4 linked regions of the Saccharomyces cerevisiae S288C genome follow. The protein of the gene in region 2 purifies or fractionates together with the protein of the main gene of each other region. This does not show direct contact. Each region holds a gene or a part of one and is shown on either strand. Other genes may lie near its edges.

Region 1 (5,888 bases), 290 kb from region 2:
CATATGCCAAAAACTTTCAACCTGTCCAGTGATGACTTGTCCAATATCTATGACATGTTTTACCAAAGTATAGAAACCTACAAAATTAGTATGGGAACGGGATCATCTAATATGGGTTTCGAAGTATTCATTCAGTTCTTGAGTAAATTCTGTGACTCCTGTAGACCGTGTGAAAAGGACAAAGATCCAGCTTTCCGGAAACAAAAAAGGAATTTTCTGCAAAGGTTATTTGATAACTGGGATTCTGCTCATATCGGCGAGTTGACATTGAACGATGTGGTAACAGGCTTGGATAAACTGGTAACTGTTGATCTTTTACAAGCTATAAACTATTTTTTCTCTTTATATGATACAGATGGCGATGGTGAATTGCATAGAGAAGAAGTGCTACAGTTGTCGGAAGGGCTGCTACTGCTAACGGAACCTTGGAAGAGCGGTAGATATGTAGATCTGTTAACTAAAAAGCGCATTGAAGATGATATTGCTGAAAACATCATCAAGGAAAGCGGTGGAGAGATAGCCACTATGAACCAAATCGAGTTACCAACTGGGGTTACTATTGATGAGGAAAAATATAAAGTTGAACAAGCAGAAAGATACCTAAAAGCTGCAAGCAATTTCCTACAAAGATCTTTTGAATATGCTAAAGCAGTTGATCTCGCGGAGGAGGTAAACTTGATTGACTTGTCTGATGATGAAGGCGAAGAAAAGCGAACGGTAAAACAAAAACAACTGGAAAGCATAAAGGCAAATGCAGCCCTAGATCCCACCCATCCAAAAGTAATAGATTTGCCAACATTTAGAATGATCATCCTCGCAGATGAAACTTACGAGCTTTTCTTTTCTAATACTTTACGATCATCTGTTCACGTCGACGAACATGTCAACATTGATAACAAAAATAAAGTCCTCAGAAGTATGTTTGACGGTATATTGGCAGACGGCAAAAGAGTTGCTGAGCAAGTTCGTCGTCGTGTCGATTCGGTGGCAACTAGGAGCAGCATTGCTTCTGTAGAGAGTACGCCAACAGCCGCTGCAAGTTCAATAACTACCAAAGAAGAAAAGTACGATGATCTAGATGATTTCACGTCAGAGCATCAACCCGAGAATGAAGAGTTATTACAAAGTTCCTGGTTTGAGATCGACGATGCCAATGAAACTAGCACTAAAGCCATACAAGAAAGGTCTTTTGAGCCTTTGTCGGCAAATTCCTCGGAAGAGAAGTCCAACCTTATTGAATTTGAAGCATGAAATCGTGCTTATCAATTTTATGTCACCCTAAAACATCTGTACGTGTTTATATAGATATTTAAAGCAATATTTGCCAGGATTTGGTGAAGATCCCTCATATAACTCTCATAAATGCGGATTTTCGGAGCGAAAAAAGCCTAAATTCTTGTCTGGAAGTATAATTGGCGGTGAAATAGAAAAGGTGGCAATCACGACTGAAAAGGGTACAGCTTTCGCAACTGACATATACAGACAGTGAAAAGTAATAAATTGCCCAAGTGTGAACATGTCAGGTGTAAGCTCTGTTATGCTCGGTCTTCGACCTGCTACAAGAATTTTTTTCCGCAGTAATATTTCGGTTTCACCTTCGAGGACTTTTGTATCATATATTGGAAGATCCCAGAGCACGTCGATACTCAAAAATGCTCCCAACTTAGAGGACAATGTCACAAATCTTCAGAAAATTATACCGAAACGGTTCTTTTCTCAAACATCAATTTTGAAATCAAGGTGGAAGCCTATATTCAATGAAGAAACTACTAATCGATACGTACGTTTGAACAGGTTTCAGCAGTACCAGCAGCAGAGAAGCGGCGGCAATCCTCTGGGCTCTATGACTATTTTGGGGCTCTCTTTAATGGCAGGAATATATTTTGGCTCCCCTTATTTGTTCGAGCACGTTCCACCCTTTACGTATTTTAAGACGCATCCAAAGAATCTGGTATACGCGTTATTAGGCATCAATGTTGCCGTATTTGGACTATGGCAGCTACCCAAATGCTGGAGGTTTCTACAGAAGTACATGTTGCTGCAAAAGGATTACGTAACTAGCAAAATTTCGATAATCGGAAGTGCGTTTTCACATCAAGAATTCTGGCACTTAGGTATGAACATGCTAGCGTTGTGGTCCTTTGGTACTTCACTCGCAACAATGTTGGGAGCATCCAATTTTTTCTCCTTATATATGAATAGTGCCATTGCAGGTTCTTTGTTTTCGTTATGGTATCCAAAACTGGCACGCCTAGCCATTGTCGGACCTAGCTTGGGTGCCAGTGGAGCGCTATTTGGGGTTTTAGGATGTTTTTCATATCTATTCCCACACGCTAAAATTTTGCTGTTTGTTTTCCCAGTCCCAGGTGGGGCTTGGGTAGCATTCTTGGCTTCAGTGGCATGGAATGCAGCTGGTTGTGCTTTAAGATGGGGGTCATTTGATTACGCTGCGCATTTAGGTGGCTCTATGATGGGGGTCTTGTACGGATGGTATATAAGTAAAGCTGTAGAGAAACAAAGGCAGCGTCGCCTTCAGGCTGCTGGTAGGTGGTTTTAATCACTTAAAAAAAGACACATTCTCATTCGAAATATTGTAAATACTGCTATGTCTTCTATGTACTTAATCTTATTTATGCATTTGAAAAATATTTCAGCCTTATCGTGGTGGTACATGTACAAGAAAATTCATAGGCAAAAGAATATATAGAATAGAGCGTATGTGTTACTTTTCTAAGTCTTACTTCCTGTTTTTGAGTAGTCCCTCTTTGACAACAAAATATGCATTTTTGGATTCCGCGGCAAGTCCAGTTGCTTTCCAAGATCCGCTAACTTCTCCTAGCTCAGCATCCTGCTTTTGGTGGCTGATGCCTTCAAGTAGCTTTGTGTAGTTCAGCTGTTTCGTATTTCTTTGCACCAACCGAGCATCATATTCCTTGGTGTGCTTTTCACCTTCGACAGGTATGTTATGGAGTTTGTTGATGAATGATAATTGCTTGGCAAGTCGCATTTGAATTTCTTTAATATCTGCTCCTTCCAAGGGAAGACCTGATAACCGCAACAATTTTTTTACAGCTTCAGCAGACGGTGGCTCTAGTTTTTCCTCTTTAGTGTTTATGCCTAAATATTCGTGGACGGACCATACAGGTCTTGATAAATAATCCCTTATTTGATTCATATTTTCAAATTTTTTACCAATCTTTGCCCCTCCCGTAGATACGAACCGATGACTTCCATCATGGCATAACCCACCCACTGTATGTGTTCTGCATAGACGCCATGTTTTGTACATCGTTCTAGCACTATGGGTAAGTGCAAATAGTTCGATCTAAAAGCCTAAATGCTAGTCACTATTACCTCCTTGATGTTATATTTACAGAATAATGTCATGTCGTCTGTGGTGACTATTATTATTGCCTGAAAAAATTAAAGAAAATTTTTTGCGATGAGATGAGATGAGAAAAAATGAAAAATTTTGGAAGGTTAATTAGAGATGTGTAGTAAATCCTGCTGGTGGAATACATTTTATTCCTGTAGAAAATAGTATAGTAACAGCGGTATCCTACTTATACAATGAGAATCAAGAAGAAAAACACCAGAGGTAACGCAAGAAACTTTATTACCAGATCTCAAGCTGTGAGAAAATTACAGGTTTCTCTTGCTGATTTCAGAAGATTATGTATATTCAAAGGTATCTATCCTAGAGAGCCAAGAAATAAAAAGAAGGCAAACAAGGGCTCTACTGCACCAACTACTTTTTACTATGCTAAGGATATTCAATATCTAATGCATGAGCCCGTTTTGGCTAAATTTAGAGAACACAAGACTTTTGCTAGGAAACTAACAAGGGCTTTGGGTAGGGGAGAAGTCTCTTCTGCTAAAAGGTTAGAGGAAAACAGAGATAGTTATACTTTAGACCATATTATCAAGGAGCGTTATCCAAGTTTCCCAGATGCTATAAGGGATATTGATGATGCTTTGAATATGTTATTTCTTTTCTCTAATTTGCCCTCTACCAACCAGGTTTCCTCGAAAATTATCAATGATGCTCAGAAAATCTGTAATCAATGGTTAGCCTATGTTGCCAAGGAACGCTTGGTTCGTAAAGTGTTTGTATCCATTAAAGGTGTTTATTATCAAGCCAATATTAAGGGTGAAGAAGTTAGATGGTTAGTTCCATTCAAGTTTCCAGAAAACATCCCCAGTGACGTTGATTTCAGAATTATGTTGACCTTCTTAGAATTCTACTCGACTCTATTGCATTTCGTCCTATATAAGTTATACACCGATAGTGGGTTGATTTATCCGCCAAAATTGGATCTTAAAAAGGATAAAATCATAAGTGGTTTGTCATCATATATTCTAGAATCCAGACAAGAAGACAGCCTACTAAAACTTGACCCAACTGAGATTGAGGAAGACGTAAAAGTTGAAAGTTTGGACGCATCGACATTAAAGTCTGCCTTGAATGCCGATGAGGCAAATACTGATGAAACAGAAAAGGAGGAAGAACAAGAAAAGAAACAAGAAAAGGAACAAGAAAAGGAACAAAATGAGGAAACGGAACTAGATACTTTCGAGGATAACAATAAGAACAAGGGTGACATCTTAATACAGCCAAGTAAGTACGATTCTCCTGTTGCTTCTTTGTTTTCTGCATTTGTTTTTTACGTTAGCAGAGAAGTTCCGATCGATATTCTTGAGTTCTTGATCTTATCTTGTGGTGGTAATGTCATCAGTGAAGCTGCTATGGACCAAATTGAAAATAAGAAGGATATTGACATGTCCAAGGTCACTCATCAAATTGTTGACAGGCCAGTTTTGAAAAACAAGGTAGCTGGCAGAACGTATATTCAGCCACAGTGGATATTTGATTGTATCAATAAAGGCGAATTGGTACCTGCCAACAAATATCTTCCAGGGGAGGCTCTTCCACCTCACTTAAGCCCATGGGGTGATGCTATTGGTTACGATCCAACTGCTCCTGTCGAAGAAGGCGAAGAAGAAGAAAGTGAAAGTGAAAGTGAAAGTGAAGATCAAGTTGAGGAGGAAGATCAAGAAGTTGTTGCTGGAGAAGAAGATGATGACGATGACGAAGAGCTACAAGCTCAAAAAGAGCTTGAATTGGAAGCACAAGGTATCAAATATTCTGAAACTTCAGAAGCTGATAAGGATGTCAATAAGTCAAAGAACAAAAAGAGAAAGGTGGATGAAGAAGAAGAAGAAAAGAAATTGAAAATGATAATGATGAGTAACAAACAAAAGAAACTTTACAAAAAAATGAAGTATTCTAATGCTAAAAAGGAGGAACAAGCTGAGAACTTAAAAAAGAAAAAGAAGCAAATTGCCAAACAAAAAGCTAAACTGAATAAACTAGATTCCAAGAAATAGTTTTCTCTTCTTTTCCAATAGCCTCTCAAAAATTTTGTCTTTTAATTTAACATCTTTATTACTTTATAATTCCTCGGTATAGCAACATTAGATATATAACTACACATTTTTGTTTGTAGATATAGAAATACCTGTACATTAAAAGTGGTTACTGTTGTTCTGTATAACTATATGAGTGAATTTTGTAAAAATATGCCCAGGTGCCAATGATTATATTAGAATATTTCCATGTGCTACCCTCGAGTCCATTGACTGTCTATCGGGTACACTTAACTCTATATAGCCTTGTAGTTCCTTTTTTAAGTTCATCAAGGCAGTCTCTGTATAGTTTATACGATCGATATCGGTCCCCCTACTAACATTGATGTATGCTTTTAAAAGGAACCCTCCGCTTGTTATTTGTGAATTGCCTGCTTCTTCTATTTGCCAAATTTTTTGTAACTCAAGTATTAAACCATGCTTCATAAAAAATTTCACACCAATTGTAAGATACTGAAATT
Region 2 (6,804 bases):
ACGCCTACAAAATCACTTAGTGAACAAAGGAAAATAGATTGTTTTTAAAGTTGTGAAGTAGTGAACTATGGCTTCCCACATACACATATATACTGATACAGATGCAATATAACATTTAGTGTTAGAAAAATTTGCTTCTATCTTGATGACATTGAATACTCTTGGACGTAAAAAAAGACATCCGATTAAAGTGGAGGTAATCTACAAGAAAAGTTGTTCTTCCCCTCATTAGAAATCTTGCAATGGTCACGGCCGTCGCTATCAAAAATCAACGAAGTGAAGTGACTCTAATTTTTGTCTATTAATGTTGCGATGGCCTTATTTGCTATTCTAAGGTTTTCGCGAAGTATCAGGTATGATAAAAAAAATCATATTTTTGATCGCATCAAGAACAATCCCAATGGTAAAAACGGTAATAAAAAAGAGTCCATAGTCATATACCAATGCCAGTGTGTAAGAACTGTCACGGAACCGAATTTGAGAGAGATCTTTCCAATGCTAACAACGATTTAGTTTGTAAAGCTTGTGGTGTTGTCTCAGAAGATAATCCTATCGTCTCTGAAGTTACATTCGGTGAAACAAGTGCAGGTGCTGCTGTAGTACAAGGTTCTTTTATCGGTGCAGGACAAAGTCATGCTGCATTTGGTGGTTCTAGTGCTCTAGAATCTAGAGAAGCCACATTGAACAATGCAAGAAGGAAATTACGCGCCGTTTCTTACGCATTACATATCCCGGAATATATCACAGATGCTGCTTTCCAATGGTATAAGCTTGCATTGGCTAATAACTTTGTACAAGGTCGTAGGTCCCAAAATGTTATCGCTTCATGTCTTTACGTTGCATGTAGAAAGGAAAAGACGCATCATATGCTGATCGACTTCTCTTCAAGGTTACAGGTGAGTGTGTATTCCATAGGAGCCACATTTTTGAAAATGGTAAAGAAATTACATATCACAGAATTGCCGTTAGCGGATCCTTCCTTATTCATTCAACATTTTGCCGAAAAATTGGATCTTGCTGACAAGAAGATCAAAGTGGTAAAAGATGCCGTAAAATTGGCTCAAAGAATGTCCAAGGACTGGATGTTTGAAGGACGTAGACCTGCAGGTATTGCCGGCGCATGTATTCTACTAGCTTGCAGGATGAATAATTTGAGAAGAACTCATACAGAGATCGTCGCAGTTTCACATGTCGCCGAGGAAACTTTACAGCAACGGTTGAACGAATTCAAAAATACAAAGGCTGCTAAACTTTCAGTTCAAAAATTTAGAGAAAATGATGTGGAAGACGGTGAGGCTAGGCCTCCCTCCTTTGTGAAGAACAGAAAGAAAGAAAGAAAAATAAAGGACTCTTTAGACAAAGAAGAGATGTTTCAAACAAGTGAAGAAGCATTGAATAAAAATCCAATTTTGACGCAAGTATTAGGAGAACAAGAACTGTCTTCCAAGGAAGTCCTGTTTTACTTAAAACAATTTTCAGAAAGAAGGGCCCGTGTTGTGGAGAGGATTAAGGCTACTAATGGTATAGATGGTGAAAATATATACCATGAAGGTTCTGAAAACGAAACAAGGAAACGCAAACTTTCTGAAGTTTCTATCCAGAACGAGCATGTTGAAGGGGAAGACAAAGAGACGGAAGGGACTGAGGAAAAAGTCAAGAAGGTAAAGACAAAAACATCAGAAGAAAAGAAAGAGAACGAATCTGGGCATTTTCAAGATGCCATTGATGGTTACTCTCTAGAAACAGACCCATATTGTCCTCGCAATTTACACTTGTTACCCACAACGGACACATACCTTTCGAAAGTTAGTGACGACCCAGATAATTTAGAAGATGTTGATGATGAGGAGTTAAACGCGCACCTATTAAACGAGGAAGCTTCTAAATTGAAGGAAAGAATTTGGATTGGTCTGAACGCAGATTTCTTACTTGAACAAGAGAGTAAACGTTTGAAACAGGAGGCAGATATTGCCACAGGTAACACATCAGTGAAAAAAAAACGTACGAGACGTAGGAATAATACTAGAAGTGACGAACCTACAAAAACTGTGGATGCAGCAGCAGCTATCGGATTGATGTCAGACTTACAAGATAAGTCTGGTTTACACGCTGCATTGAAGGCAGCTGAGGAAAGTGGTGATTTCACAACTGCTGATAGTGTCAAGAACATGTTGCAGAAGGCAAGTTTCTCCAAGAAGATTAATTACGACGCCATTGACGGTTTGTTTAGGTAACGTTTAGGTAATCAACCCTAGGAAGGAAAAAGGGAACGGAAATAAAGACGCAATACATTTGGTTTTGGCTAAAATATATAGAACATGAAGTGCAAAAGAATTAAAGGTGCATTAACTATTTAATATGTATGTGATTATATAAATCTAAAATCTCAATGTCGTAACAATCACTGTTCCATTAAAAAAACGGGTAAGGTGGAAATTTCAGTTTTTTTTTTTTTTCTTTTCTTTTGCTTGATCGGCTAAAAAATGAAAATTTTAAACTCATCTCATCGCAGATAACCATAACACGCTTAACAGATAGAACGTTCTACCACTAAAAAAACATATCAAACGTCACTTTTTTGAATAAGTAATAATAGTTAAGGAGGAAGCACAAGACGCACTGAATATACCAATCAAGGGCATCAACAATGGGTAGAAGAAGTAGAGCAGCTATGCTCCCAACAAATATCATTCTTTTACAGAATTTGGTAAAGCGTGACCCAGAGTCCTATCAAGAGGAGTTTCTTCAACAATATGCACATTATGAATCGCTAAGGGACATTTTTATGTTAAATGGGCTTGCTGGAGGTGATTCTGCAGCTGCCACTAATGGGCTCGATGTAGGAAATGGATCTTCTACAATGGCAGGTACTAACGGTACCACCATGAGCACTTCAACTTCGCAACTTATTGAATTGGTTGGCTTCGTATCTCAAGTCTGCTCATGTTTTCCTCGTGAAACTGCAAACTTCCCGTCTGAATTAAAGCAGCTTTTGCTGGAACACCATAAGTCCTTGCCATTTGAATTGAAAGAAAAAATCTTAAGTTGTTTGACGATGTTAAGGAATAAGGACGTCATTACTGCTGAGGAATTAATTCAAAGCTTATTTCCTTTATTGGTTGCTTACTCTTCCCATGGTAATTCACTCGGCGTTAATTCACACGCCAAGGAATTGAGGAAAATCATTTATACAAATTTAATTTCTTTATTAAAAAGTTGTAATACTAATGGTAAAAATCAAAAATTGAACAAATCTACGCAGGCCGTTTGCTTTAATTTGTTAGATCAACCAGATTCCCAGGGAATCTGGGCCACAAAATTAACCAGAGAACTTTGGAGACGTGGTATTTGGGATGATTCAAGAACAGTAGAAATTATGACCCAAGCAGCATTACATCAGGATGTTAAGATTGTCATGTCTGGTGTGATGTTTTTTTTGGATGCTGACAGAGAACGTGAAGAAAATTTTGAAGAAAATTCCGAGGATGAGGATGGGTTTGATTTAGATGCATTAAGGCATAAGATGCAAGTCAATAAAAAAACGGGTAGACGTGGTAAGAAGCTGGAGAATGCCATAAAAACTGTGAAGAAGAAGAAGAAGAACGGACCGGGTGCTCCTCAAGGGTATTTAAACTTCAGTGCTATCCACCTTTTGAGAGATCCACAAGGATTTGCCGAAAAATTGTTTAAGGAACATCTTTCAGGCAAAACGAAAAACAAATTTGACATGGAACAAAAAATATCTTTGATGCAGCTGTTATCAAGGTTGATTGGTACCCATAAGTTAATTGTTTTAGGAATTTATACTTTTTTTTTAAAGTACTTAACTCCGAAACAAAGAGATGTTACAAGAATTATGTCCGCATGTGCCCAAGCATGTCATGATCTTGTCCCTCCTGAAGTTATAAATGTCATGGTGAGAAAGATTGCAGACGAGTTTGTATCAGACGGTGTTGCCAATGAAGTCGCTGCTGCAGGCATTAATACCATTAGAGAAATATGCTCTCGTGCACCTTTGGCTATCGATGAGATTCTACTACAGGATCTGGTAGAATATAAGGGGTCTAAAGCTAAAGGTGTCAATATGGCTGCCAAGTCATTGATAGCGTTGTATAGAGACGTGGCACCAGAAATGCTAAAGAAGAAGGATCGTGGTAAGAATGCCGCCATGGAAGTACAAGAAGCCAAGAAAGGAGGTAAAGATTCAAAAAGACCGCAATTTGGTGCCGACAACAGTGTTCAAGGGATTGCTGGTATCGAACTGTTAGCCAAATGGAAGAAAGAACATGGTGAAGAGAGTGAAAATGAAGACGCTGATGCCAACTGGGAAGTAGATGTCGATAGCGAAGAAGACGATGTCGACGGTGAGTGGGTCACCATGGATAGTGATAAAGAATATGACGTTGATATGGAAGATAGTGACGATGAAAAAGACAATGCTAAGGGCAAGGAATCAGATTCCGATTTGGAACTAAGCGATGATGACGATGAAAAAGAAGTGAAGGATGAGCAAGAAGATGCAGATATAGATCCCGAAGCTGCCTTCCGTGAAATTGCTTCTACACGTATTTTAACTCCGGCAGATTTCGCTAAACTACAAGAATTGCGTAATGAGGAAAGCGTTGCTAAAATAATGGGTATCCACAAACAAGACAAGCGTGAAGAGTTAGTTGATGCAAGTACACTAACAGGCCCTATCAAATACAAACAGTCTCGTGAGGAAAGATTACAAAAGGTGTTGGAAGGTCGTGAAGGTAGAGACAAATTTGGTAGTAGACGCGGTAAGCGTGACAACATGCGTTCTACTACCAACAGAGAAAAAGAAAGAAGGAAGAACTTTGTTATGTCTATTCACAAGAGATCTGTTAGAGGTAAACAAAAAATGTCACTACGAGACAAGCAAAAAGTGTTACGTGCACACATCACCAAACAAAAGAAGAAGGGGTATTAGACGACATCGTAGCCATATTAATATATACATACATATACACAGATACATTCATCTCTCCAACTGTATGAGGACTTCTCTACCTTGAATGGAACACCAAAGCCAGGTAGATACTAAAAAAAACTCTTTTTATGTCTTGGTACAGAGAAAAATGCTCCAACTGGTATCGATTATGTGTTCATCGGGAATTCTCGGCTTTTCCCCGCAGCGGCGGAGTGAGTATTCTAAAAGTTGGTTGGCCTTTCAATTGCCGCGTAGTCAACATCTTTGAGGTTTTATATAAGATCGACGTTTTCCTTATCAGCACTTTGACGTTTTCTCTCGAAAAATAACAGTGACTATAGAGCGATAGTCCAGTTTTTTTGTAACTGACTTTTAGGTAGTTAGGATTAATAAGGATTGAGTCAATACAATCGAAAAAAATACTGAAGCATTGCAACTGAACAAAATGTACTCAAGAAAATCCTTATCCCTAATTTCAAAGTGTGGGCAATTAAGCAGGCTAAACGCGCAAGCTGCTTTACAAGCAAGGAGACACTTGTCAATTCATGAATACAGGTCAGCTCAGTTATTGAGGGAATACGGTATTGGTACTCCAGAAGGATTTCCAGCGTTCACTCCCGAAGAGGCTTTCGAAGCAGCCAAGAAATTAAACACTAACAAACTGGTCATCAAGGCGCAGGCATTGACCGGAGGTAGAGGTAAAGGTCACTTCGACACCGGTTACAAAAGCGGTGTTCACATGATCGAAAGTCCTCAGCAGGCAGAGGATGTTGCAAAAGAAATGCTCAATCATAACCTGATTACTAAACAGACGGGAATAGCGGGGAAGCCAGTATCTGCTGTATATATAGTGAAAAGAGTAGATACAAAGCATGAAGCTTATTTATCTATTCTAATGGACAGACAAACCAAGAAACCGATGATCATTGCGTCCAGTCAAGGTGGTATGAATATTGAAGAGGTGGCTGAGAGAACCCCAGATGCTATAAAGAAATTTTCAATTGAAACTTCAAAGGGATTGAGCCCACAAATGGCCAAGGATGTTGCCAAGAGTCTCGGTTTCAGTCCCGATGCACAAGACGAGGCAGCAAAAGCTGTTTCCAATTTGTATAAAATATTCATGGAAAGGGATGCTACACAAGTGGAGATTAACCCTTTGAGTGAAATTGAACATGATCCAACCCACAAAATCATGTGTACAGACGCCAAATTTGGGTTTGATGATAACGCATCATTCAGACAGGAAAAGATATATTCCTGGAGGGACTTATCACAAGAAGATCCTGATGAAGTTAAGGCAAAGAAGTATGATTTGAATTTTGTTAAGTTGAAGGGTAACATTGGATGTTTAGTCAATGGTGCTGGTTTGGCTATGGCTACTATGGATGTCATCAAATTAAATGGAGGCGATCCTGCGAACTTTTTGGATTGTGGTGGTGGTGCCACCCCTGAGACCATCAAACAAGGTTTCGAATTGATCTTATCCAATAAGAACGTAGATGCAATTTTCGTCAATATTTTCGGCGGTATCGTAAGATGTGACTATGTTGCCCTGGGGCTGGTAGAAGCCGCCAGAGAACTAGAAGTTAGGGTCCCCATTGTGGCACGTTTGCAAGGTACCAAAGTAGAAGAAGGCCGCGACATTATCAATAAGTCAGGCGTGAAGATTTATTCGTTTGATGAATTAGATCCTGCTGCTAAAAAGGTCGTTGAATTGACCCAAAATTAAGCTTCTCGAGAAAAACAAAAGAGTTAATAATAAAGTATATATGCTTTTTTACTATTAATAAAGTTTCTTATTTTCCCTACATGTATACATACATATAAATATACTCTTTTGGAAAAAATTTCTT
Region 3 (5,656 bases), on a different chromosome or scaffold from region 2:
AACACCGGTCACTATATTAACGGTGCAGAAACCGTGATTCCAAATGAATTTCTCAAGTTAACTTTGAGACTCGTACATAAATTGCAATTCTATCTTTTGAAACAACAAAACTTCCCACCAACATTTGCTAACGCTTCAGAAGCAGAAAAATGGCTAAGTTCCATTTTCGAAAATTTGGGTGCCATGAAAAGAAAGCTGAACAGGTTCAGCAATATTCTAGTCAAGGCGTTCCAAAATTCTGCTGTTTATCAGATTAATCATAATGCACAACTTGTTAAAAAGTTAAAAGATGCTCACTATTTTTTGGTATACTCCGGTAACACTTTTGAGTCTAGTGGTGTATATATGTTTGCTGCTCCTGAATTATTAGGTTGTGACAATGATACCATCTTAAGAATTTTGCGAAATAAATCCATTGGCTGTGATTTGGTCCCAAAGCTTGACATTGGAAATAATTTGAATGTGTATGATATAACAACAAAAGAAACAGATTTGAACATTCTAGTATCGAAAGGGGAGGATTCCAAAGGAATTCCTTACTACCGAGTAGTAGCAAATTCGTCAAGTGATTTGGACAGGCATGCTCATCAGTCCAAAAAGAAGAATTTTTCAACAGACCCTTTTGATCAGCACCTTGATGAAAAGAACAATGAAGTTTTTGAATTGGAAGTTGCTTTGAGCTCATTGGGTGCACTAGTTGTACTATATCCTGGAGAGCCAGTAGTTTGGGATGGACCAGTATATAAGCTTCCAGGTAACAACCTTTTTGCATCCAACGAAATGGATTTAGGGAAAATTGGTAACCCAAATACGTTGATTTTACTCAATCAAGGTTCTAATTATGCACTGACTTATCAAATCGACAAGTTTAATCAAACGGTAGGTGATTCTGTTTCATTCATAGAGAAACGTTGTTCACTCAATTCAATTGAATCCTCCCTACAAAAAATCAATAAGGCATATTACAAACTTACTTATACAGTATTGAACAACTACAAAGGAATTCTAGGTAGCTTTATGAAGCAATGTCCGGGAAATGAGTTGTTAAATTCGATATTCATGTTTGGAAGGGATTTTGGAAGAAGTTTCCTTAAATATAACGCCTTTAGCTCAAAGAGGAAGTACGTTATCATCTTTCTGATGGTTAAATTAGGAATGAACTGGTTGAAATTCCTTGTTGAAGAGTGTGATCCTACCGATCAGCGAACTTTCCGATGGTGCGTTCTTGCAATGGATTTTGCGATGCAGATGACTAGTGGTTATAATATCCTGGCGCTGAATGTAAAGCAATTTCAAGAACTGAAGGAGAGGGTATCAGTATGTATGTCATTATTAATTTCACATTTCGACGTTATGGGTGCACGAGCCACTGAAGCTGAAAATGGCATGCAACAGGCAAGATTGAATATTGATACTGAAGAGAATATTGATGAAGAGGCCACCCTAGAAATAAACAGCAGGTTGAGACTGGAAGCTATAAAGACGTTGGAAAAGACTATGAAGAGGAATCCCAGGCAAATGGGTAAGGTATTGGATGCTACAGATCAGGGAAACAAATACCTACTATCGCTAGCATCCTCATTATCGAATGTATCAATGAGGTGGCAAAAAAGAAGCTTCATTGGCGGTGGAACATTTGGACAGGTATACTCTGCAATTAATCTGGAAAACGGTGAAATCTTAGCTGTTAAGGAAATAAAGATACACGATACCACAACAATGAAGAAGATTTTTCCCCTGATTAAAGAAGAGATGACCGTATTGGAAATGTTAAACCATCCTAATATTGTCCAGTACTATGGTGTCGAAGTACATCGCGATAAAGTTAACATCTTCATGGAATACTGTGAGGGTGGTTCTTTAGCCTCGTTATTGGATCATGGAAGAATTGAAGATGAAATGGTAACACAAGTGTACACATTCGAACTATTAGAAGGTTTGGCATATTTGCACCAATCTGGCGTGGTGCATCGCGACATTAAACCGGAGAATATCTTGCTGGATTTCAATGGAATCATAAAATATGTGGATTTTGGTACGGCACGTACCGTTGTAGGATCTAGGACTAGAACTGTGCGGAACGCAGCCGTTCAAGATTTTGGAGTAGAAACAAAGTCCCTCAATGAAATGATGGGGACACCGATGTATATGGCTCCAGAGACTATTTCAGGCTCGGCAGTTAAGGGAAAACTTGGAGCGGACGATGTATGGGCATTAGGATGTGTTGTGCTAGAAATGGCCACAGGTAGACGACCTTGGTCTAACTTGGATAATGAATGGGCCATCATGTACCACGTTGCTGCAGGTCGAATACCGCAACTACCCAATAGAGACGAAATGACTGCAGCGGGAAGAGCCTTCTTGGAAAGGTGTTTGGTTCAAGACCCCACTATGAGGGCTACTGCTGTGGAACTACTGATAGACCCTTGGATGATACAAATCCGTGAAATAGCATTTGGCAACTCAGAGAAAGATCAAGTACCTATCCTAAGCTCATAGAGTGGTCAACGTCTAAAAATATGATATACTACGATATATAATGTAATGTAATTCAATAATGGTGATGAAGGCAAGATTTCATTTAGAGCTGTTACCCGAGAAACCGGTGAAAAATTTTAAAATGAAAAAAAAAAAAAAAATGCGATGAGCTTCAAAAAGAGTATCTTTAAAAGACATATATCACAAGATTTTTATATTTGTAACCTCGATAAACACACACTAACACAATATACAGATGTCCACCCTGATTCCTCCACCTTCTAAGAAACAAAAGAAAGAGGCTCAACTTCCCAGAGAAGTAGCTATTATTCCGAAAGATTTACCCAATGTTTCAATCAAGTTCCAAGCTTTAGATACTGGTGACAATGTAGGTGGCGCCCTGAGAGTTCCCGGTGCTATCTCCGAGAAACAGTTAGAAGAACTTTTAAATCAATTGAACGGTACTTCAGACGATCCAGTGCCATATACCTTCAGCTGTACAATTCAAGGTAAGAAGGCCAGTGACCCTGTGAAGACGATTGATATAACAGATAACCTATATTCTTCATTAATAAAACCAGGCTATAACAGTACAGAAGATCAGATCACGCTACTGTATACGCCAAGAGCAGTTTTCAAAGTCAAGCCGGTAACTAGAAGTTCATCAGCCATTGCAGGTCACGGTTCCACAATTTTGTGTTCTGCCTTCGCACCACATACGAGTTCTAGGATGGTAACCGGTGCAGGTGATAATACTGCAAGGATTTGGGACTGTGACACCCAAACGCCAATGCATACTCTAAAGGGTCACTACAATTGGGTTCTCTGCGTTTCCTGGTCCCCCGATGGAGAAGTAATTGCTACGGGATCCATGGACAATACCATAAGATTATGGGACCCAAAAAGCGGTCAGTGTCTAGGTGATGCTCTCAGAGGTCATTCCAAGTGGATCACTTCTTTAAGTTGGGAACCTATACATCTTGTGAAGCCGGGCTCCAAACCAAGATTAGCTTCATCTTCTAAGGATGGTACTATTAAGATTTGGGACACTGTGAGCAGAGTTTGCCAGTATACGATGAGTGGTCACACAAATTCAGTGTCTTGTGTCAAATGGGGCGGCCAAGGTCTATTGTATAGTGGCTCTCACGATAGAACCGTACGTGTATGGGACATCAATTCGCAGGGCAGATGTATCAACATTTTGAAGTCGCATGCGCACTGGGTTAATCACTTATCTTTATCTACAGATTACGCATTGCGCATTGGTGCATTCGATCATACAGGTAAGAAGCCTTCTACACCAGAAGAAGCCCAGAAAAAGGCATTGGAAAATTATGAAAAAATCTGTAAAAAGAATGGAAATTCAGAAGAAATGATGGTTACTGCAAGCGATGATTATACCATGTTTTTATGGAACCCACTAAAATCTACCAAGCCTATAGCAAGAATGACCGGTCACCAAAAATTAGTCAATCATGTGGCGTTCAGCCCTGATGGTAGGTATATTGTCTCAGCGTCTTTTGATAACTCTATCAAACTTTGGGACGGTAGAGATGGTAAGTTTATCTCCACATTTAGAGGGCATGTAGCCAGCGTATACCAGGTTGCGTGGTCATCGGACTGCCGACTACTGGTGTCATGTTCCAAAGATACCACGTTGAAAGTGTGGGATGTAAGAACTAGAAAACTTTCTGTTGACCTCCCTGGTCATAAAGACGAAGTTTATACCGTCGACTGGAGTGTCGACGGTAAAAGAGTGTGTAGTGGTGGGAAAGACAAGATGGTAAGATTGTGGACGCATTGAGTTATGTGCAAAGACAAGTAACATACATGCACATATAAATATTATATAACTGTGATATAGAACTGCATTTTTTTCTTTTTGAATATTAAATATGATGGTGTCGCAAGGTCGATCTATAATGGTCATCGCGTACGAATGGCTTGGTATGAATTTAAAATATGGTACTATAAGCAGTATAGCTCCAGCAAGAAGGAAAACCTTTTGAAAGAAGTGCCCGTTTACCTAAAGCAACTTACTCCAAGGTAGCGTGTGAGCAAAACTATGATCAGTTCGTGTGTTACTAGATGTTTTGGTAGGGGTAAATGCCTTCCAGGGCCTGCCACTGCCTCGATATACCAAACGATAAGATGTATATCCACTAATTCAAATAAAGCTGCTGAGGCGCCAATATTTCCAAAGCTGGAAGACGTGAAGATGCATGAGCTCATAGGAAACAACAATTTTGGTAAAAAGACCTACTACGTGGAGAGAAGCAGGACCGGAAATCTACCGGTGTATTCCGCTTATAAAAATGGAGGTAACAAGATTATCACGGAGATCAGAAAGATTGAAGGAGATGTAATTCAACTAAGAAATGACTTGCAGGAGCAACTGCCTTTCATACCCAAAAAATCATGGTCTGTGGTGATGCAATCGAAAAAAATTATTATCAAGGGCAATGCAGTAGAGGCTGTCAAAAGGGTATTAACCAAGAAATTTTAGGTATCGCTAATGTATAAAAAAATAATTGTCATGTATATATATTAATTAAAATCATAGCCATGTGGTCATCAAGCCATCGAAAAGAAGTTGCTTACTTGTGTCTTAATGAAACCGTATGAGGCTTTTCGTGCATGCCCTTGTAGGCAATGAAACAAAGGCCAAGAACAGTTAAACACATCAAGGCTCTGGAAATTGGGTGGTTTAAATCATAGGCGGTGGTTCCAGTGGAGGTGGTTAAAGGTGTGTAGGCTTTATCGTTACGGAAGATGTTTTCCAAAGTGGAGCCAACAGACACATCGCCATTTCTAAACTTCTCGACTTTTTCTGTGTACGCAGCGTGCAAATCTAAGATGTTACTAATTTTTAAGATTTCTAGAACGAAATACAGGAACCGTAATTCATGCTGAGGCTTTCCATATTCGTCTGTTTCTGTGTATTGAATAGCATCCATTAGTTGATCTAGACCAGAAGTTATTTGACCAAACACGACACTTTTGCCATCCAATTCCTCATTTCCATCGGCTTTAGTGGTGATGATGAATTCCGAGGTGTTAGAATCAGGTCCAAAATAGGCCATTGCGAGTCTTTCAGGCCTGTCATGTTTTAAGTAAAAGTTTTCGTCATCAAATTTGGGCCCATAGACGGTGAAAGGACCCACATCTGGGGCAACCA
Region 4 (5,942 bases), on a different chromosome or scaffold from region 2:
CTGAAGAAGCGACAGTTTCTAAGTTTTCTATATTGCTATGTTCACCCTCAGTGAGAAGGTTTCTGTCATTCACCATATTTGCGGTAGCATTTTCATTATCAAATGGAGAATCAATATGAATAGTAGTTGTAGATTCAGCATCCGACAGTGATCCTGAACTATTATCAAGTTCATTATCGGTCGAATCATCATTATCCTCTTCGTCATCGTCATCATGTTCATCAAAACTTAGACCGAAACTGTAGCAAAGAGTTTCTAAAACAAAAGTCCAGGAGCTGGCCTCGACTAGTTCATCAATTTTATCACTGTAGTCAACGTTCAAATAGCCCACCTTAATCTTCAATTCATTGGGCCTTCTTCTTCCAAAACTTGTAAAGCATCTGTAATCTTGAAATAGTATGGATTTTTTTGCTTCCATATTACTATTTGATACAGCAACAATACCCAAATGTTCATGAATATTTTCGGGATATAGAGTATTTTTCAACCAAATAGGTGAAAATTGTGTCGAGGAACTCTTTGATTTGAGATTTGAGATGGAATCTAGTGAATCTATCTTGTGTAATACCGATCCATAGTCCAGAACATAATTATTTCGATCAACGAAACAAAACTGCAAACGCGCAAATTTAATGGTTAAAGCTTTTAGACTGTTATAAACAACAATTAAACTGTCTTCTTCCTTCAATTTCGTAAAATCGATCTGTAAGATTATTGCCAAATTATCAGGTTTTTCTCGTTTAAGGGAAAGAATTGAGCTTATCGTGGTTAGAACAGATTGTATACTGTCGACAGTACTCTGCCTAGAACATTCTCCTGAATTTAAGGTGAATCCCCTCCTTATGATTACAGTATCATTATCGTGCACATTTCCAACTTCAACAACTTTGTTAGGATTGATTAAACCTAGAAAGGTACTCGTCTCGTGCCTACCATTACCAACATCTTTTGAAAAGTTCTTTATAATGGGAAGAATAGGCAGGGTCGAAGTGATATTGTCCTCATTGAATACAAAATCCTGATTCAATATACCTGATATCCATTTCTGTACAGTTGTGCTTTCGTCAGAATTTATATTCTGAACAATGTAAAGATCTGATAAATCGGCGCAATGTTGTTTATTTAAGGTGCATTTGAGTACTGAAGCTTCGAGTGTAGTCATTCTCAAGTTGGCAATAGGTGTAAATACTTCTAAATTCTTTAGTCTAATTTCCAAAACATCAACATCGTTATCCACTTCTGCTATTACAAATGCGTCTTCAAATAAGAAACACCAGCATTGTATATATCTCTGACCATCTTTGGAAATCATCAATTTGTCTACCAACCTTAGTAATCCATAGTCCCCGTCTATTCTCCAATCCTGCAATTCTTCCTGGAAATTGTTCAAAAGAATTTGAATAAAATATGACCTTAACAGCGGCAACGTTGTTTTGGTTTCGTCATCCTTTGCTCTTACCGAATTGGAAACAGCAGAAATAGAATCATTAGCTGACAACGCTACAGAGGTGTCTGCTAAGATAGAGTTTGCTCCGGACGGAATTCTTCTGTGCCCCAGGGGTGAATGTAAAAATGTATAGTTTGATTTTTTTTGTGGAATTTGGTTTCTTTCCTTGGGGGGTGCAGCCAATATGAGATTTGGGTTTAGACTTGGAGCTTGAGAATATATCGTTTGTCTTTCAACAGGTGTATAGGATAACCCAAAAGGAGGCAAGAGTGGTGAATAAGGAGGAAAGCGGGACTGAGGTGTGATTGATAACTCAGAATCAGGAATCTTATGAATCAAAAAATCAGAAATTAGAATATCCTTTAGTTCATCATTTTCTGGAATGCATTGAACGGCTTTGTTAGTATCTTTTTTACATTTGGTACAAAAAGGAAATAGCGCACGAACGTCTGCCTTTGAAGTGGTGCCAAAAGAGATAATAAGACATTCTTGGTGACTTAAGTGGCCACATGCAAGCTCTATAATTTTCTCTCCCTTTCTTCTGTTAGAAATAGGCTCGTCACATAACGTACAAGAAGCATTCAAAAAGGATTTTTTAATAGAGGTTCTTTGTATTGGATAGCCAAATGGAGCGACCTTGGGTGGTATATTATCTGATAAATTTTCGGCCCTTGGGGGCTCATTTGCTCGGGATAGGTTACTATTACTTGCGTGAAAGAGATTGGAATTAGGTCTTGGCAAAGACGATGTTCTGTGAGGGTGTTGTGGCAAATAATCAGTGGAAACCGTAGAAGGTGTATTCATTAGGTTACCGTCTTCATTGCCAGAAGAGTTTGAAGAAGTGACCCTAGATTTGGGTGAGAACGAAAATGTAGAGGAGGAAATAGGAGAAGGTGAGAATCTTTTCTTTTTAGCACTACTTCTTTGGAACCTGGCTAACTTTTCCGTCCATTTTTTTCCTCTTGACAATGGGGATAGAGTACTGGGCTTCTCTAGCTCTATTATTTGGTTGGGAGTTCTCGACAAGGTACCACTATATTGTGTCGAGCTACCAAAATTGTGAAAAGGGGAAACTATATTGTCTGTAGGAGTTTCCATCATTTAAAAGTTGTTTCCGCTGTATCCTGTATCTTCCTTTTTTAGCGCGGATGCTAGATGGGTTAAAACAGTTTTAAAATATTTTCAAATTACTTTTTTATGCCTTTCTTTTGTCGTCAACTTTTCGAGGAAATTCTCGGTATTTTCTTTAGCTACTATCGCCTTTCATATTTTGATGCAGAAAAGTACATGATGTGTAAATTAACAAGCTACATATCGCCGCACCCAAAAAAAAAAAAGAAAAGAAGGGAAATTGTTCAAAATTATGACAGGTTACCTATGGACATGTGTCGTCTAATCACTACCTTTATATTTTTTAATTAATTCATGTGCACAGGCCTGCTTTCTACTATTGAGCAATACGCCTTCTAAATGACTCTCCTACTTCAAAAATGTATCAGAGTAGAACTGCGGAAAGATCCAATATTTAACGCTTCTTCTTCACTCGAAATATTTCTGTCAGTTTTAGAATCTGTTATATATCCCTTTAAAGGAAACTTGATACTTCTAGATTTTCATCTTGTCGATGTTCAAACAACGTGTTATCAGAGAAACAGCTCTATGAGAAATCAGCTGATGTCAGTATTCTGTCAGTCACTTCGTGAATTTACATTGACTGCTCTTTCGTGCAATTCATACTGTATTATTATAGTTGCAACTAGATGGCAAAAAATTGATAATGCCCTAAAAATGACAGGCCGGTAACCCTAAGCTTTTTTTTACCCGGAGAGGGTCATGCCTCTGTGAAGCTTTTTTTGCTTTCTGAAAAAATTTTACCGAAGTAAAGAAAAATTTCAGCAGAAGAGATGAGATGAGCTAAAGCATCGTGTTATTCAAAATACTTTTAAGAAAAAACCCGACCCGACTAATATTGCTAAAACTATCATGGCTCTAGCTATCTCCCACGAGGATACTCAGATTTTGCTAAAGGACAAAAATATTCTACAGGAATCGGTCTTGAACAAATACAGAACTGCTGGACAAATCGCACAAACTGCTTTGAAATATGTTACTTCTTTGATCAATGATTCATATCACTCTAAGACCACACAGCGCCAATTAACCGTGCCAGAGCTATGTTTGCTTACCGATTCTTTTATTTTGACCCGGTTGGAACAATATTATAAAAACAAAGTTAATGAAAGAGGTATTGCCATTCCAACCACTATTGATATCGACCAAATTTCTGGTGGATGGTGCCCCGAAATAGATGATACTCAAAATTTGTTAAACTGGAATAAGGGGAAAGACTCCACTTTTGCATCATCTGTCACTGGGACTTTGAGACCGGGGGATTTAGTCAAGATTACACTAGGTGTTCATATTGATGGTTACACCTCTGAAGTTTCTCATACTATGGTTATTTACCCCGTTGATGAAACCAAACCTATTCTTCAACCCACTGGGCCACTACTAGGTGGTAAAGCGGATGCTGTAGCTGCTGCTCACATTGCTATGGAAACAGTTGTTGCTTTATTAGCCTGTGCTCTGACTCCAGAAAAGCTTCCTGCCTCACTGGGAGGAACTTCAAGTGGTATCACAGGCCAATTGATTAGAACTATAGTGGATACTATTGCCAGATCTTATAACTGTGGCGTTGTTCCTGGTTCTCGTGTAAGAAGGATTAGAAGATTCCTGGCAGGCCAAAACGAAGGTATTGTTGCCGAAAGGGAATATAAGGGTGTTGTTTGGACAGAGTCCCATCAAGAAGCAGATTTGCTATCTAATACTGATGCCAAGGATTTAACAGTGGTAGATCGTGGACAATCGACTCCATTCACTAATGTTTCTGCTATTCCAAGTGATGATTTCGTTGTTCAATCAGGTGAAGTGTATTTAATTGATTTGAAAATGGCATCTTTGGAGCATTGTACCAAAAAGGGTTTAGTAACTTTAGAAACCGTTGACTCTTACACAGGTAAATCTCATAAGGCTGGAGAATTGATTGCAAGACCCGGTGCATATGTTAGAGATTTTGCTCAAACCCATATTCTTAAATTAAAAACTTCTAGACAATTATTAACTAAAATCGATAAACAAGGCGTTTATCCATTCAAGTTATCTCATTTATCTTCTAACTTTCCTTTCGTTCACGAAAATGAAGAAGAACTCCAAAGCTTAAAGAAAGATTTGAAATCATTTAGACTTGGGATGAGTGAGATTTCCAACAACTACTTATGTGTGGAAAGTCCAATACAAATTGCTAGATGGGTTCCATGGGACCATATTTTAAAGGCTACCAATCCAAACGGTAATTTAAGTTATGATGCAACCTCTACATTAACATTACCTGGGCATGAGTTACCTTTACCAAAATTGGGTGTTTCAGCCATCAAGCTTAAATCCTTAATGAATTCAACCAAGGAATCGATTTCTTTACCAGTTGCTCGTGAATGTAATACCATCGTATTATGTGACTCTAGTGTAAGTACAACGGACAGACCCGAATTATTGAGATTAACTGGTGGTTCTAAGACCTGTCAACCGAGCTGGATTCACTCTCAGCACGAATTAAATCCACAAGATTCAATTGTTCAAGGGATCTTTCAATTAGCTACTTTGGCCAAGGATAAGAGGTTCGGTCTATTATTAAAGGAAACGCAGCCAATGAAGCAGAAGAGTGTTGAGACATCAAATGGCGGAGTTGAAGAAACCATGAAAATGTAGGAAACTTCATCATTTCTAAAGCTAGTATATAAATAATATAAGTATATCATAAAATGTAAAATAGAATATTATAAAAAAAGTCAACCTAGCTGTACTAAAACCGCTTGGTTCATTTGCTCAGAATCTTGCATTATAATTACATTTTATTTGCTATACAGATGAGATGGAAGATTAAATATCTCACGCCTGTTTCGCCATGCTTTTGTAACACCGGCGGATTGAGAGACATGGGCTTCTAATATTAAATCATGTCATCGTCATCGTCGATGTCATCATCACCAATTGACAAAGATGAGCCGGGTGCTCTGAAGTTAGCAGGTTCTTCCACAAACTGGGAAAAATGAAAAACAATAAAGGCAACCCCTAAAATAAAAGTAAACATTCCCGCCAATATGTTGTAGATACCGCCGAAGCTGATTATCAGACTTAGTAAAATATAAGATAAACCCCTTCCAAGAAAACTAAAGTAAAAGGAAGCATACCTGTAAAGATTTGACGGAACCTTGAACTCCAGATAGACGATAGGTACGGAGAGTGCCAGTCCGTAAACTGCCAAGAGGAAGACGTTTAAATTGGTGAAAATATACGTCAATTGTGAAAGGGCAGCAATAATGTCTATGCAGCCAATTGATATATTTGCAATCTTGAAGAATTTTGGAGGAATAACTGACATCCTTTCGTTTGTGATCCCTTGTGGTTATTTGACTTTGTTTATTGTCCTCTCTTGTAA

Evidence for each region.
Region 1: the proteins of SDA1 (region 2) and NOP7 purify together in Saccharomyces cerevisiae (affinity purification with mass spectrometry; 11 studies listed by BioGRID, with this or other methods). This does not show direct contact.
Region 3: the proteins of SDA1 (region 2) and RSA4 purify together in Saccharomyces cerevisiae (affinity purification with mass spectrometry; 5 studies listed by BioGRID, with this or other methods). This does not show direct contact.
Region 4: the proteins of SDA1 (region 2) and ARX1 purify together in Saccharomyces cerevisiae (affinity purification with mass spectrometry; 11 studies listed by BioGRID, with this or other methods). This does not show direct contact.

What each region holds. Positions count from the first base shown.
Region 1 is NC_001139.9:691,847-697,734, forward strand, and holds NOP7 (mRNA-binding ribosome synthesis protein NOP7), read left to right. Parts: upstream 1-3,570; coding exon 3,571-5,388; downstream 5,389-5,888. Other genes in the region: GTPase-activating protein MDR1, read left to right, coding at 1-1,251; rhomboid protease PCP1, read left to right, coding at 1,517-2,557; GTF1 (glutamyl-tRNA(Gln) amidotransferase subunit F), read right to left, coding at 2,738-3,289; SRB5 (Srb5p), read right to left, coding at 5,599-5,888. UniProt on the Saccharomyces cerevisiae protein: Component of the NOP7 complex, which is required for maturation of the 25S and 5.8S ribosomal RNAs and formation of the 60S ribosome.
Region 2 is NC_001139.9:977,912-984,715, reverse strand, and holds SDA1 (Sda1p), read left to right. Parts: upstream 1-2,647; coding exon 2,648-4,951; downstream 4,952-6,804. Other genes in the region: transcription factor TFIIIB subunit BRF1, read left to right, coding at 444-2,234; LSC2 (succinate--CoA ligase (GDP-forming) subunit beta), read left to right, coding at 5,397-6,680.
Region 3 is NC_001135.5:239,431-245,086, reverse strand, and holds RSA4 (Rsa4p), read left to right. Parts: upstream 1-2,734; coding exon 2,735-4,282; downstream 4,283-5,656. Other genes in the region: mitogen-activated protein kinase kinase kinase SSK22, read left to right, coding at 1-2,499; mitochondrial 54S ribosomal protein mL49 IMG2, read left to right, coding at 4,544-4,984; peptidylprolyl isomerase family protein CPR4, read right to left, coding at 5,076-5,656. UniProt on the Saccharomyces cerevisiae protein: Involved in ribosome biogenesis. Required for processing and efficient intra-nuclear transport of pre-60S ribosomal subunits.
Region 4 is NC_001136.10:654,956-660,897, reverse strand, and holds ARX1 (putative hydrolase), read left to right. Parts: upstream 1-3,430; coding exon 3,431-5,212; downstream 5,213-5,942. Other genes in the region: STE5 (Ste5p), read right to left, coding at 1-2,548; YDR102C (uncharacterized protein), read left to right, coding at 2,918-3,250; TVP15 (Tvp15p), read right to left, coding at 5,454-5,885. UniProt on the Saccharomyces cerevisiae protein: Probable metalloprotease involved in proper assembly of pre-ribosomal particles during the biogenesis of the 60S ribosomal subunit. Accompanies the pre-60S particles to the cytoplasm.